2 linked regions of the Stegostoma tigrinum genome follow. The protein of the gene in region 2 binds, or shares a complex with, the protein of the main gene of each other region. Links are inferred from orthologs where the notes say so. Each region holds a gene or a part of one and is shown on either strand. Other genes may lie near its edges.

Region 1 (8,361 bases), on a different chromosome or scaffold from region 2:
TGTGCTCCTCACTGTCTCTGGATTTTCCTCTAGTCCTACTTCCTTCAGTAGATATGCTCACTTCACTAATTGTGACCTCTTGAATCACATCAGTTTTAATCATGACATACTTGGTGGCCAAGTCCTGGAATTTCTCAGTTTAACCACTGGGCCTCTTAACTGCTCTCCCTTCCTTAACACAGATCTTTAAACAAAACTTATTAGTCATTCACTAAAAATCACCTGGCATGTACTTCTGTGGCAAATCTTGGATTATAATGCTCTGTTAAAACATTTTACTAAAGGTTTGATAGAAATAAAAATTGCTGTTTTCAGAATCCCAATGATCCGTTATTAAAATTATCAAATTATGCATGTGATGGAGATATTTAAACAAAACGGACACTATATACGTTGTCTCACAAACTCAAAATAACAAGACTGAGGTGGATGAACAAAGAACCAGAGAATTATGGTATAAATGGAAGCCATTTATCACATGAAACATGTCCACGTTTTTGAACAGCCATGTAGTAAGTTGCTTTTCCCCCACTCTTTCCCCTTATCTCTGAAATTTTGTTCTCCTCCAAACACTCATAAAGGTCACTAAGAGAGTTACTACTAAACCATACTCATTATCTTTTCAGGCAGTGGACTCCAAATCCTAATCACTAACTGGCAAAAGAAATGGAGATAACTTTCTATGCAATCACTATAAATCAGTGTCACAACAAGCAGATATTCACCTGCACATCTGCCAATGTGGTATACTGCATCTGCTGTACCCGTTGTGGCCTCCTCTACATCGGGGAAACAAAGCGGAGGCTTGGGGGCCGCTTTGTAGAACACCTACGCTTGGTTTGCAATAAGCAATTGCACCTCCCAGTCGCGAACCATTTCAACTCCCCCTCCCATTCCTTAGACGACATGTCCATCCTGGGCCTCCTGCAGTGCCACAACGATGCCACCCGAAAGTTGCAGGAACAGCAACTCGTATTCCGCTTGGGAACCCTGCAGCCTAATGGTATCAATGTGGATTTCACAAGCTTCAAAATCTCCCCCACCCTACTCATCCCAAAGCCAGCACAGCTCGTGCCCGCCTGCCTAACCTGTTCCTCTCACCTATCCCCTCCTCCTACCTCAAGCCACACCCCCATTTCCTACCTACTAACCTCAACCTGTCCATCCTCCCCGGACTGACCTATCCCCTCCCTACCTCCCCACCTACACTCACCTCTACTGGCTCCATCCCTGCCTCTTTAACTTGTCTGTTTCCTCTCCACCAATCTTCTCCTCTACCCATTTTTGATCCGCCTCCCCCTCCTCCGCCTCCTTTCTGATGACGGATCTAGGCCCGAAATGTCAGCTTTTCTGCTCCTAAGATACTACTTGGCCTGCTGTGTTCATCCAGGTCTACCATTTGGTAGTGGTTCCTTTTCCTTCAAACAGACTCACCCAATCGACCTCTGATAGATCCTGCCTAATAGCTCCAAAACTGGCCCTGCTGCAGTTCAGCACCTTAACCTGCGGACCTGTTCTATCTTTTCCCATAAGTATGAGAGTTATGGTCAATGGACCTAAAGTGCTCTCTGATTGACACTTCAGTCACTTGCCTGACCTTGTTTTCTAAGAGGATTTCCTGTGTTGCACCCTCCCGAGTAGGGCCCTCTAAATATTCACTTAGGAAACTTTCTTGTTCACATCTGTCAAATTTCACCTCATCCAGGCTTTTTACCTTCTGGGTCAATACAGGAGAAAATAAAGTCTCCAATCGGTACTACTCTATTATTCCTACGTGCATCTGCAATCTCTCTACACATCTGCTCCTTTAGTATCCGCTGTCTATTTGGGGGTCTATAACAAGTCACAAAGTGAGCATCCCCTTCTTGTTTCTAAATTCAAACCATTTGGTATCATCTAATGACCCCCTTAAGAATATGTTCTCTAAGCTCTGTTGTTATGTCCTCCCGTATCAAACGGGCAACTCCCCCTCCTCACTTGTACTTCTATCACTCTGCAGCTTCTGTATCCTGGAACATTGAGCTGCCGATCCTGCCTTTCTCTTAGCCATGTTTCTGTTATGACTATAATATCCCAGTCCCCACAGCCAATCCATGCTCTGAGCTCATTTGCCTCATACAAAGGATCCCATGCCACTAAAGTGAACATTTGAATCCCCTGAGACTTCATCAGAACTGACCACCGTACCTACTGAATCAAAGATACCAAAAAAAACTGATCCTGGAAATTTTGAAAAAAAAAACAGAAGTTGCTGGAGAAACTCAGTAAGTCTAGTAGCATCTGGACATAGAAAGCAGAGTTAAACGTTCAAGTTCAGTAACTCTTCTACTAAACACCGAAGGTCTGAAGAAGGGTCATTGGACCCAAAAGTTAAACTTTGTTTGCACAGGTGCTGCTAGACCTGTTGAGTCTTTTCCAGCAACTTCTGTTCTTGAGCTTATCGACTGAATTGCGTAGAGAGAAACATTTTCAAATAGTGCCATGAGACCTTGCACATTCTTGCCAGAGGTGGGACTTTGATGTAACTCTTTGTCTGAAATCAGGAATGCCCATCCTCCAGTGCAGCGCTCCCTCAGTACTGCACCGAAGTACCGGCCCAGATTTTGCATTCAGTTTTTGGAGAGTAACTTACAACCCTGTGATTCACCTCTCCTACCCTCTCTGAGACAAAATCCAAACTGGTCTCAATGCATTCGACAGAAAATGTGTATCAAGTTCTCCCCCCACCCCTCCCCACAAAACCCCAGACCATTTGTTGTCATCAGCCTTGCAAAAAGGTTGTGCCCTAAAAAAAAATTAGCCTCGAAACATCTCTGGGAATGCAAACACTTTCTGCTGCGCCATTTCGCGGGAGCAGCTAGACCGGGGACTCGGCAAGGGTGTAATACGCCTCCTGTAGCCGAACAGCCAGCTGTACTCATAGCCCAGGCGGACGGGCGAGGGAAAGGCCCCAGCTCCGGGGGGGGAAGGATGGTCCAACCGCTAGGAAATACAAACAATCGCTCAGGCCGTACTGATCCAGAGCGCGGGTCCCCGTGACAAGCGCGGTGTTTGCGTGGACCCCACCCCGGGCTTCGAGCCCACACACCCCCACAACTTCCCCCTCCGCCTCACCGCCATGATGACTCCGGGGTCTCCGCCTCTCTGCTCCTGCTCCCAACCTCGTCCACAACCGGCTGTCACCTCGGCGCATGCGCAACTGCCCATTCACCGGCACAAATAGGGCCGCTAGGGGGCGACCGCGGGCCCACCCGCCTGACTCGCAACCCAGCGATCCGCCGCTAGGGGGAACCAGCGATCCGCCGCTAGGGGGAACCAGCGCCCCCACCCCAAAAAAAACCTGGCACGCACCCGAGCAGGCCAAGCAGCATCTCAGGAGCACAAAAGCTGACGTTTCGGGCCTAGACCCTTCATCAGAGAGGGGGATGGGGAGAGGGAACTGGAATAAATAGGGAGAGGGGGGAGGCGGACCGAAGATGGAGAGTAAAGAAGATAGGTGGAGAGAGTATAGGTGGGGAGGTAGGGAGGGGATAGGTCAGTCCAGGGAAGATGGACAGGTCAAGGAGGTGGGATGAGGTTAGTAGGTAGATGGGGGTGCGGCTTGTGGTGGGAGGAAGGGATGGGTGAGAGGAAGCACGGGTTGGGCTGGTTTTGGGATGCAGTGGGTTCTCTCACCCATCCCTTCCTCCCACCTAAAGCTGCACCTCCATCTCCTACCTACTAACCTCATCCCACCTCCTTGACCTGTCCATCTTCCCTGGACTGACCTATCCCCTCTCTACCTCCCCACCTATACTCTCTCCACCTATCTTCTTTTCTCTCCATCTTCGGTCCGCCTCCCCCTCTCTCCCTATTTATTCCAGAACCCTCTCCCCATCCCCCTTTTCTGATGAAGGGTCTAGGCACGAAACGTCAGCTTTTGTGCTCCTGAGATGCTGCTTGGCCTGCTGTGTTCATCCAGCTCCACACTTTGTTATCTTGGATTCTCCAGCATCTGCAGTTCCCATTATCTCTGATGCAACCGAGCGATCCGCCACTAGGGGGAACCCGTGGGCCCACCCGCTGTCTGGCAACCCAGTGATTCGCCGCTACGGGGAGCCCGCGGAGCCTTTGACGTCTCACAAACCGGCGACCTGACACTCCACCCCGACTTGCAACGCAGCCAGCCACCGCTAGGAGGAGCGCCCGGCCCCCCCCAATCCAAACACGCAACGCAGCGATCCCTCACTAGGCGGAGCCCGCGGGCTATACTTCAGACCCACAACTCAATTAGAGGCGAATGTCACCCCCAACCCCCAAACTTCCTGTGCTGCAGTGAAAAAAGTTCCAGCCTAACCTGGCTTATTCCTACAACTGAAACCTTCTATCCTTGGCAACATCCTGGTAAATCTTTTCTGAACCCTCCAGTTTAATAATGTCCTTCCTGTAACAGGGTGGCCACAATTGCACAAAGTATTCCAGACGAGTCCTCAGCAATGTCCTGCACAACCTCAACATACCATTCCCAACTCCTACACTCAATGGTCTGAGCCATGAAGGCAAGCACGCAAATGCCTTCCTAACCACCCTGTCTACCTGTGAAGCAAATTTCAAAGAATTATGTACCTGAACCCCTAAGTCTCTGCTGGACAACACAGCCCAAGGCTTTCCCATTAGTTTTGTAAGTCCCGCCCTTTTTGTTTTAACAAAATGCAATACCTCACATTTATCTAAGATAAACTCCATCTGCCATTCCTCAGCCCATTGACCCAATTGATCAAGACCTCTTTGCAATCTTAGATAACCTTCACTGAGAATCAATGGGTTGTAGTGGATACCTGGGGGACAGCTCATCCACAGAAATGAAAACACTGAAGTCAAGTGAGGGAAGGAAAGAGTCAGATGCAGGTGGAGGTGTGAGAAAGATGGCAATTGGAAGCAAGACATTTTTTTCAAATTCCAGGCAATAGCAGGAAGATACTATTAATGTACCAGAGAAAGACTTGTGGGTGGAAGCCTGAGTAGGGCTGGAACAAGGAGTGTTCCACATACCCCACAAAGAGACAGGCTCGCCAGGGACCCATGCAGGGGTCCATGGCCACATGTTTGACTTGGAGAAAATGAGATGAGTTGAAGGAGAAATTAAGTGAGAACAAGCCCAGCCAAGCGATGGAGGGTGGCAGTAATGGAGGCAATGCAGATCTCTTTTCAAGGTAGAAGCAGAGACCTCACAGCTAATCCTGATGGGGGAATGGATGTGTAGAAGAATTTCTCATCCATAGAGGAAAGGAGGTGGCTAGGGCCAGAAAACTGGAAATCTTGGAACTGACATAACACATCAAAAGACAATTTTTTTGAGTTTCTACAGCATTTTCTGTGTTCTTCTCAGTTTTCCAGCTTCTGCAAAATCTTGCTTTAATGTGGGTGAGTTAGTTAAACATAGAGTTTGTTGTCATTTATGGCTGTGAGCAGTATTAAGACAACACCGCTCGGGGGGAGCTAAAGGAAATATTTCAATGTTCCTTTGTCCTAAGCTGTGTGTTGACCTGTCAGTGCTGGAATGAATCCCAGAGTATGGGTGATTTCCAGAATGTAGGCTTGTTACTATTTGAAGGGACATTGGATTGAGGTTCTAGTTTGGAAGAAAAAATGTTTTTATGGCTCTTCTTTATTGCTTGATGGTGTAAAGATCTGGGGTTGTTTCTCCTCCTGGGGAGGAAACTGGGTTATCCAAGGTACAGGGTCTTAGATTGACTTCAAGGATGTCTTTGCGTCTAGGTTTGGAATGTCCTGTGGTGTGGGTTTCTGTGCCCAGCTGGCTGAAGAATACCACAGGACAATTCCGTGTGTACTGCATAGTTGTTTCAGCAAAGCTGCTTTCTGGTGAACATGTACCTTGCAAAGAAATTTGAGTGTCAGCGATCTTGTCCTACCACTTGATGTTACAGATAGGTCTTATGCAACCAAAGTAGAATGGTCATTCAAAACAGTGGCTCCCATATTCTAAATGGCACAAAGTACTGTTCATCTATCAGCTCTGTGCTAGTTGACCTACATGGATTTCTGTCCTTGCAGCCTTAGAAATTTTAGATTTTTGCCATTGTTTTCAATTATTCAATGACTTTAACCCTATCTCTCTCAATATTTCCCCTCAAGTTCTTCACTTCTCCAATATCTCTCTGTTCCTCCGATTATGGCTACTTCCACATCCCCATTTTTTATCACACCAGCACTGGACCCTAAGCTCTGGAATTCCCACACTACCTTTTTTTCCTATTTATTTGTGGGATGTGAGCATTGCTGGCTGGCAGCATTTCTTGCCCATCAGTAGTTGCCCTTGAGAAGGTGGTGATGAGCTGCCTTCTTGAATCGCTGCGGTCCTCCTTCTGCGGGTTGACCCACAATGCTATCAGGGAGGGAATTCCAGGATGTTGAACCAGCGACAGTGAAGGAACAGCAACACACTTCCACGTCAGGATGGTGAGTTGCTTGGAGAGGAACTTTGAGGTGGTGGTGTTCTCATATATCTGATACCCTTGTCCCTCTAGATGGAAGTGGTGGTGGGTTTGGAAGGTGCTGTCTGATGATCTTTGGTGAATTTCTGCAGTGCATGTTGTAAATAGTATTCACTGCTGCTGCAGGGTGTCGGTGGTGGAGGGAGTGAATGCTTGTGGGTGTAGTGCCAATCAAACGGGCTCGTTTTTCCTGGATGGAGTCAAGCTTCTTGAGTGTTGTTGGGGCTGCACTCATCCTATATCTCTCAACCTTGTTACCATTCCTTCTCTCTTTAAGATGTACCATAAAATTTACTGCTTTGAAGAAGCTTTTGGCCAACATATATGTGGCTTGGCATCAATTTTTGATGACAATGCCTTTATAAAGCAGTTTGGTTTGTTTTAAAATCTAAAAGCACTATATGAATGTAAGTTGTTGTTCTAGATCTTCTTGTGGTGTGAGTGTACTTCTGACTCTTACTGGCTTTAGCTTGATGATGTGTTTGTCATTCTTATTGGACAGCTTGCCAAAGCAATAAGAGTTCACAGGAAATCAGGTCAAAGATTGTTGATTTTCACATATACATAAAGAGAACCATTTACACCTCTAAACTTTATACAAACCATTACAACACATATATCTTACACTATCTGACGAAGGGTCACTAGACTCAAACTGGCCCTGCGTTTCTCCAACATTTTCTGTTCATGTTTCAGATTTCCAGCATCTGCAGTTCTTTGTTTTTATAATATTGTATCATCTACCATTTTCTCACAGATTTCACAGGCATTGTTTATATTTCACTCAGGGCTGTTTTTGTCTGACTGATAGTATAACTCCTACACTCTGTGTGCTGCCTTTGCACAACAAGTGGTTCCTATTTGTTTTTAGAAAATGACTGAAAAGTTAAACTTTATCTAACTTAAACTGATTATACCTCTTCAGCAATGAACATGGCTCAGAACCCCAAAGTATGATGGGCAGTTTCCTTGTAATTGTGTCTTCAGAAGAGGGGTCATACTGCCAAAAATGGCCGCTGATGTAAATGAAGCATTGTTTGGCAATGGAGTGACCCATGGAAAGTCAAACCTAAAGACACAACCTCAAACTATTAATGTTCAAAGCAGGGAAAAGGCAACTGAAAACACATTGGATGATCTCTTGTGGCTACAGAGATAACCAGGCACTGACGAGACCCTGCTCCAGAAAAAGCCACTGTTAGACTTCGTCTAACTTCTAAGTTAGCTTTTTAACTGACTACCCATCCCCCCCCAACTCACCTTGCACGTTCCAACAACACATCTCCCTGATCCTTTACCACTCCCACCCCAGATCCTGACCCAACACCATTTCTTACACCAGAACCCGACAACACTACCCACCCCAGGACTTGATGTCTTTCCAACACCACAATATCCAGTTTTACCCACCCATCCTAAACCACCTTATTTGTCACTTATTTGCGCCTGAGCACCCTACTTGTGTGATAGCCTATCCATCTGTTTATTTGTTACTTGTTGACACCCTATCCCCTACCGTCCTGGCATGCTACCTCGTACTATTTGGCACCCTCTCCACCTGGTGTCCTGTTCCCTAAAAAGCTGGCACCTTACCCTCTGACGCCCTAAGGCCACACATACCTTACGTACTTTCCTTTAGCCAGCAGTGTCAAACTGGCTGTCTGTGATTCTGGATTTTTACATTTCAGAATATGGCACTGACAGCTGAAAAAAGACTTGCCTTCCCCTGACACTGTGAGGTTGGAAGATGGCTCCATATTACTGAAGAAGTCCTGACTGGTATCTCATGTCAGAAATTCTACCATAAAATAAAGTCTGAGTAAAATGATCTGGTGCAAGAGATTACTGCTCCTTGAAAAAGTTGGCC
Region 2 (7,641 bases):
GGTCTTTAAAAGCCTCCCATATGACAGATGTAGATTTGCCCTCAACTGCTCCCAATTCACATTCCCCAATTCCTGTCTATTTTGGATATAATTGGCCCTTGCCCAATTAAGCATCTTCACCCAAGTGCCAGTTTTGTCCTTGTCCATGACTACTCAAAACCTTATGGAGTTATGGTCATTAAGCCAAAAATGCTTTCCTACTGAAACATCGATCACTTGTCCTGGCTCATTCCCTAATATCAAGTCTTGCACGGCCTCCTCTCTGGTAGGATTGTCAACATACTGTCTCAAAAAGCCCTCCACGACACATTAACAAATTGCTCTCCAACTGAGCCCTTGTGTCTAAGGGAGTTCCAGTCATTATAATCAAGAGAATGCCATTGGTTTGGGACACATTTTCAGGACTTTGCTCAAATATTTCAAGCACAATGTTCGGAAACACTACCATGGGTGAACCCTGGCTCTGTACAAAACAAAATATACCTTTTCAAGTGGTGAACTGCCCAATGTCAATGCATCTTTTGCAAAGGGCTGTTGACAATGTTCTTAGTGTGGCTCTCCCAGAAATTTACACAAGGAAAAAGTAGCCTGTTTAGATTTGTAATCAAACACCCTTGAGATGTAACCTTTTTAACTGATTAGACTTTTTTGATAGCTACTTCAGATTTACTGCATTCTGCACAAATGATTGCTAATCACTCCCAGAACCCATTATCAGATACTTTTACATTTGTGAAGATGTGATATCCTGAAGAAGTGCTGTATTCATAGAACATAGAACATAGAACATTACAGCACAGAACAGGCCCTTCGGCCCTCGATGTTGTGCTGTGAACTAATCTAAGCCCATCCCCCTACACTATCCCATCATCATCCATATGCTTATCCAAGGACTGTTTAAATGCCCCTAATGTGGCTGAGTTAACTACATTGACAGGCAGGGCGTTCCATGCCCTTGCCACTCTCTGAGTAAAGAACCTACCTCTGACATCTGTCTTAAATCTAACACCCCTCAATTTGTAGCTATGCCCCCTCGTACAAGCTGACGTCATCGTCCTCGGAAAGACACTCTCACTGTCCACCCTATCTAATCCTCTGATCATCTTGTATGTCACTATTAATCCCCTCTTAGCCATCTTCTCTCCAATGAGAACAGACCCAAGTCCCTCAGCCTTTCTTCATAAGGCCTTCGCTCCAGAATAGGCAGCATCCTGGTAAATCTCCTCTGCACCTTTTCCAGTGCTTCCACATCCTTCCTGTAATGGGGCGACCAGAACTGCACGCAATATTCCAAGTGAGGCCGCACTAGCGTCTTGTACAGTTACAGCATGACATCACGGCTCCAGAACTCAATCCCTCTACCAATAAAACCTAGAACACCGTAAGCCTTCTTAACAGCACAATCAACCTGGGTGGCAACTTTCAGGGATCTATGTACGTGGACACCAAGACCCCTCTGGACATCCATGCTACCAAGAATCTTTCCATTGACCCAGTATTCTGCCTTCCTATGATTCTTCGCAAAGTGAATCACTTCACATTTATCCGCATTGAACTCCATTTGCCACCTTTCAGCCCAATTCTGCAGTTTATCCAAGTCTCCCTGCAACCTGCAACATTCTTCCACACTGTCCACCACTCCTCTGACTTTAGTGTCATCTGCAAACTTGCTAACCCATCCACTTATGCCTGCGTCCAAGTCATTTATAAAAATGACAAACAGCATTGGTCCTAAAACAGATCTTTGAGGCACAACACTGGTAACCGGATTCCAGGCTGAATATTTTCCATCCACCACCACTCGTTGCCTTCTTACAGAAAGCCAGTTTCTAATCCAAACTGCTAAATCTCCCTCAATCCCGTGCCTCTGTATTTTCTCCAATAGCCTACCATGTGGAACCTTATCAAAGGCTTTACTGAAGTCCATGTACACCATGTCAACTGCCCTACCTTCATCCACATGCTTGGTCACCTTCTCAAAAAACTCAATGAGGTTTGTGAGACACGACCTGCCCTTGACGAATCCATGTTGACAATCTCCAATCAAATTGTTGCTTGCTGGATGATTCTAAATCCTATCTCTTATAATCCTTTCCAAAATTTTTCCGACAACAGATGTAAGGCTCACAGGTCTGTGATTACCTATGTGCTACTCTGAACAGATGCATGACTTTGACTGAATGTTGATTTAGAAGCCATTAATAATGGGTTTGCTCTTGGGCAGCTGGGAATAATATTTCATTCTATTCTCCATATTTCTGCCATGTTCAACAGCTTTATTTATAAGACAAAAAATATGGACTTCTGTGGATCTAAAAGTATTGCTGTTGAGGAATTGATTTGCAAATAGTTCTATCTGTTTAGGTACTGTACTCCCACCTTTCAAAACAACTATAATCACCCCATTGTTGTAAAAAGTCCTTGATCTAACCAAATTTTCTGCAATCTCCTATTGTCTTTCTCTGCATCGTCTTTGAAGTATTGTAAATTTCCAAGATCTACGCAATTTCCAAAAACATTACTAATAAAGTTGACATAGATGCCTTTTGTAACATGACTGTGTGACACTATTTATTACGTTCTTCTTAATACCCCTTTATAGCTGATGACAACATCCTCCTACAAGTTGTTTTGTTGATCCACCTATGCTACAAAGCATACCTTCAGCTATAGGCTTTATTTTTATTGTGACTGAGGCTTAGACAAATGTCCTGAAGAAGGGTCCCTCAAATCAAAAAATGTTGACTTTGCTCTCTGTCAGATTATGCCAGACATGTTGAGTTTCTCCATCAATTTTCTGTTTTTGTTTCAAAGTTCCAGCATCCATTGTTCTTTGTTTTTGTTTTGTTACTTGTTGTTCATTTTCCTCCCTAGTGTCCTAGATATATGAAGCTGCACACTTCATTTGTTCACTGTGCTTGCCTGAATACTCTAACCCTGGAATGTTTTACTAATTTCAGTCAATGGGATTCAGCCTTAGTTTTGATATTCAGACCAAAGCAATTTAAGCAAATTCCCTGATGGTCTCAGTGCCAGAACATCATTTCCAAAGTTTTGAGTATTCATTCACAAACTTGCTTTAAAGGGACATTGAACATTAAGTGTGCAAAAACCTACAATCCCACACCATTAATGAACATGTTGCGCAATTGGCATGAATTATTAAGTTCATTGACTGACTTGACTGACTCCCAGGTTGTCAGTAACTTTAGATGCTTGGTGGAGTCTAGATTCCACATTAGTTGGAGTGTGAGAGGTTGCAGCTCTTGTTCCATTATTTAATTGACTAAATTGTCCCTCAATGTTCGATTCCACTTTCGCTTCATACTCCTATAGTCTCTGGCCATCCAGTGCTGAGGACAGTAGAGGGCCTCTTAGTGGGTCTAGCTGCTGAGCCTGGCTGGAGTGACCACCCACATCTTTAAGCTGTGAGGGGGAAGTGGCATTAAAACTGAGAAGGAACCTCTCCACCCAGACTAGCAAACCTAAGCAATTCGCAGCAACAGAAAGCCATTGAAAGCAAAACAGTGAAGGAGTCAGATACAGACATTCCTCAGTCTCTGTGATGGTGTTGTTCCCTGAATGATGAAATTGGCGAGCACGGAGTCCATTAAAAGTAGCTTAAAATTTGTTGATAGGTGGGTTTGCCCGCTGGTGATGAATTGTGTTGCTGCTTACTTTTTGGGACAGACAGGTGAAATTGCTGAGAGAGAGAAGGTTTACTGTATACTTTTAGGGCTAAAGAGATCAAAGGAAAAAGGCATAAAGTGGGATTAGGGTACTAAATTCGATGATTTTATTGAATGCTGGAGGAGGCTCGAAGGATTGAATGGCCTGCTTCTGCTCCTGTTTTCAATATTTTCTTTGTTTGTTGGAGCCCTGAGTAGCAGCACAGAGTCTGTCACTATCTTCCAGTAATTAGACTTAGAATTAATTCATTTTCTAAGCAACCTTCATGTTAACTTTTAGTTTTTTTTCATTTGTGGAGCGTTATTTGAAAACACACTTTTGCTGCTGTTTTTGAGCTTACTGTACCCACTGACCCCTTCATATTTTGATGAAGAACTATCCAACATTGTCCTCTCCCTCCTCCCCTTCCATTCCTTTGATTGACAGTCCATGTTCAGTGACGTCAGCATCATCTGGTCCCGCCCCATGTCACGAAAGTCATCCGCGTGCATGCGCAGCGCGGGTTCCACTCCTTAATCTCATCCCTCCGGGAATCTCTGGTGGCGACGATCCGTTCCGGAGGTAGTAGTCGTCTTTGGTGGTGTGTTGTTCCCGGGAAGAACAGAAGTGATCGGCCGAGGCCTAAGGTGAGCAGCCGCTGGTGATGCTGTCGCGTAAATATAAAACTTTACTTTTTGTGTAAATTACAAAAAAGAACATGCCTTTTGTGCCACAGTGAGGGAGAAATGAGTTACAGCTTCAATTCCTTGGAATCTTCTAAATAAACAACAGGTTCTAACGTGGATCAGCATGAAAACAAACATAGCATAACAAAGGAATTAATAATAATGCAATATGTTCAATAGAATCAAGCAAATTCCAGGAAGTTCCAGGAAACAGAATGAGAAATAATACTGTCAGACAGAACGAAGGTTCTTGTGAATTGAATATTTTGTGGAAACTTGGTGCAGATGTATTTTGAAGTTGTGTATTAAAGGGGAGGTAGTATTGGAAGTGCTTGTATGTGAGATGGATTATTAGTGACTTTGAAGCAGTTTGTATTTATAATGTACAAAAACCATCTCAAGATTCTTTACAGAAGTATAACCACACAAACACTGACTCGGGAGACGTGAGGGGGCTGACTAGCAGCTTGATCAAAGGGATAGGCTTTAAGAAGAGTTTTTTAAAAAAAAAATCAGACAAAGAAGAGAAGGGAGAGAAGCAGAAGTGAGTCACATGAGCGAGATAAATTTTGTGTGTTATGAGGGAGCTGCAGAAATTACCAAAAAAAACTCGCAGTTCTGGACTAGACTGCGCTGAGCCTTGGCTGAGTGGGAAGGCAGCTGAGTAAAAGGTGATCCCCATCTTTATAACTTGATGGAGGGACAACATTTACAGATTTACATTTTATTTTCACTAAATTGCTCTGTAGAGGAAAGCTTATGATTTTTCTGTTTTTATAGTTTAAAGGATTTTTTGTTCTCCTAGTTCCTGACTACTCATGGGTACTCCAACTTTGCTGCTAGACATTGCTGCTTCACGACGGAGACAAACCTCAGAGGATCTCTCTCCCACTGCAAATCTCTTGTCCATCCCTGCCTCTTTAACTTGTCTGTACCCTCTCCACGTAACTTCTCCTCTATCCATCTTCAATCTCCCCCCCCCGTTATTTCAGAACGCTGTTCCCCTCCCCCATTTCTGATGAAGAGTCTAGGCCCGAAATGTCGCTTTTGTGCTCCTAAGATGCTGCTTGGCCTGCTGTGTTCATCCAGCTCCACACCTTGTTTGCTCACAACGACAGGGTACTGGATTCAGTTCCACCCTTAGGTGACTGTGTGGAATTTGCATATTCTTCTGTGTCTGCTTGGACTTCCTCCAGGTGCTCCAGTTTCCTCCCACAGGCGAAAGATGTGCAGGTTAGGTGGATTGGCCGTGTTAAATTGCCCATAGTGTTCAGGGATGTGTACGTTGGGTGGGTTGTATGGGAATGTATCTCAGTGGGATGTTCTGAGGGTTGTGTGGACTTATTGGGCCGAAGGGCCTGTTTCCACACTGTAGGGATTCTGTGATCTTGATGTGATGATTCTTGTACTGTTCGTTATGAGGGGCATCATTTTTGAGGCAGATTCTACACATTTTGGACCTCCAGATGATAGCTGGTGGTGCAGCACTCTCAACACTATAGGCCAGTGTCAGCCTAGATTATGTGGTTGTGCTATGGACTTAGACTTGGATCTACACCCCAGTGATTCATAGATGAGAAAACAATTAAGTACGTTAGCTGACATAGTGACTTACCACTCGGCCAGCCATTATCTAAATAGCTTTGTGGTGAGTTATTTTACAGAACTGAAAGTTGCATTAATATAGTTGTTGTATGGCAAGCAAGGAAATGACACAAGTGAACTTGTGGTGAAAATGTATTGTTGAGGACGTTATTATGGTGAGAGCTTAATAGTATAGGTGAAGTGTCGAGGAATAATAGCACATCTGGTGAGCCTTAACTTGTTACATCAGTATAGAATTTAATTGAAATGTTTAGACGACTTACGTATGATGTATACCTGGACTAAATTGAATGTTGGTGTTCAATGCAAGCTTTTAAGAGAATGTATATACCACTCGATCCCTCCTCTTGCTTCAAGTAAGTTGCTCACAGGTTGTTATTCTCTGTAGCATTACTTTACTTTTTTTATGTATTGAAGAAATGAAAGTGTTAGTTAAAAGTATTATCAGAAGGCGAATGACTTTGTTGAGAACAAATTGTGATTATATCATAATTCAGAGTCATAGAGATATACAGTACAATTTTTGGTCCAACTCATCCATGCTGACCAGATATCCTAAACTAAACTAGTCCCATTTGCTAGATTTGGCCCATATCCCTCTAAACCCTTCTTATTCATGTACCCATGCAGATGCCTTTTAAATGTTGTAATTGTACCAGCCTCCTCCACTCCATCTGGTAGTTCATTCCGACACACATCACCTGTGCATGAAAAAGTTGTCCCTTACCTCCCTTTTAAATCTTTCTCCTCTCACTTTTAACCTATGCTTCTATTTTGAACTCCCCTACTCTGTGGAAAAGACCTTGACTACTCAGCCTATCCATGCCTCTCGTGATTTTATAAACCTCTATAAGCCACTGAAGTTCCAAGGAAAGTAGCCCCAGTCTATTCAGTGTCTCCCTATTGTTCAAACCCTCCAACGTTGGCAACATCTTTGTAGAACTTGTCTGAGCCTTTCAAGTTTAACAACATCCTTCCTATTGCAGGGAGACCAGAATTGAATGCAGTATTCCAAAAGTGGCCTGACCAATGTCCGGTACAGCTGTCACATGACCTCCTAACTTGATGTACAGACCAATAAGGACAAGCATACCAAACACCACCTTCACAATCTTGTCTACCTGTGACTGTATTTTCAAGGAACTATGAACTTGCATTCAAAGGTCTCTTTGTTCATAGTAATTATCAATCCGTAGCCTTAGTTTAAGTTATCCAGCCTTCTGTTCAGATTGGATTGATCACCTTCTGGGGAGAGGTAGAGGTTGAGGTAAGAACGGGAAAGATAGGAAGAAAATTTGAGGACAGCCAAAATCTAAAATCTTGCTTCAGAGACACTGAAGTACGTAAAGCCACTAGTTTATAACAATACTGCATATTTTTGTGGTGATTGCACGGTTAGTCTTAATCATTTACCAGTTGTTAAATAGATATCCGTGAAGGTTCTCTTCATATTCTCCAGGAGCCTTCCAACTCCTACTTCCTGAGATCATGGAATCCCTGAAGTGTGCAAGCAGGCCATTCGGCCCACCGGGCCCACACCAACCCTCTGACGAGCATCCCATCCTATCTTGTAACGCCATGTTTTCCATGGCTAATCCACCATTCTCCGACGCTGTGGGCAATTTAGCATGGCCAGTCCACTAACATGCACATCTTTCGGCTTTGGGAGGAAACTGGAGCA

What was found. Proteins that work in one complex are often made in the same cells at the same time.
Region 1: the proteins of atp7a (region 2) and atox1 are in contact, whole or in part, in an NMR structure (PDB 2K1R), measured with the Homo sapiens proteins. The link is inferred for Stegostoma tigrinum from reciprocal best matches to the Homo sapiens genes ATP7A and ATOX1. Residues at the interface, in NP_000043.4 of Homo sapiens: Cys19, Asn20, Ser21, Cys22, Trp24, Thr25, Gln29, Asp67, Asp68, Met69, Gly70, Phe71, Asp72; in NP_004036.1 of Homo sapiens: Thr11, Cys12, Gly13, Gly14, Cys15, Ala18, Arg21, Val22, Lys25, Lys57, Thr58, Gly59, Lys60.

The regions. Positions count from the first base shown.
Region 1 is NC_081366.1:16,694,893-16,703,253, reverse strand, and holds the start of atox1 (copper transport protein ATOX1), read right to left. Parts: upstream 3,201-8,361; 5' UTR 3,121-3,200; coding exon 3,115-3,120; intron 1-3,114. UniProt on the Homo sapiens protein: Binds and deliver cytosolic copper to the copper ATPase proteins. May be important in cellular antioxidant defense.
Region 2 is NC_081368.1:25,920,320-25,927,960, reverse strand, and holds the start of atp7a (copper-transporting ATPase 1), read left to right. Parts: upstream 1-4,200; 5' UTR 4,201-4,316; intron 4,317-7,157; exon of another isoform or gene 7,158-7,227; intron 7,228-7,641. UniProt on the Homo sapiens protein: ATP-driven copper (Cu(+)) ion pump that plays an important role in intracellular copper ion homeostasis.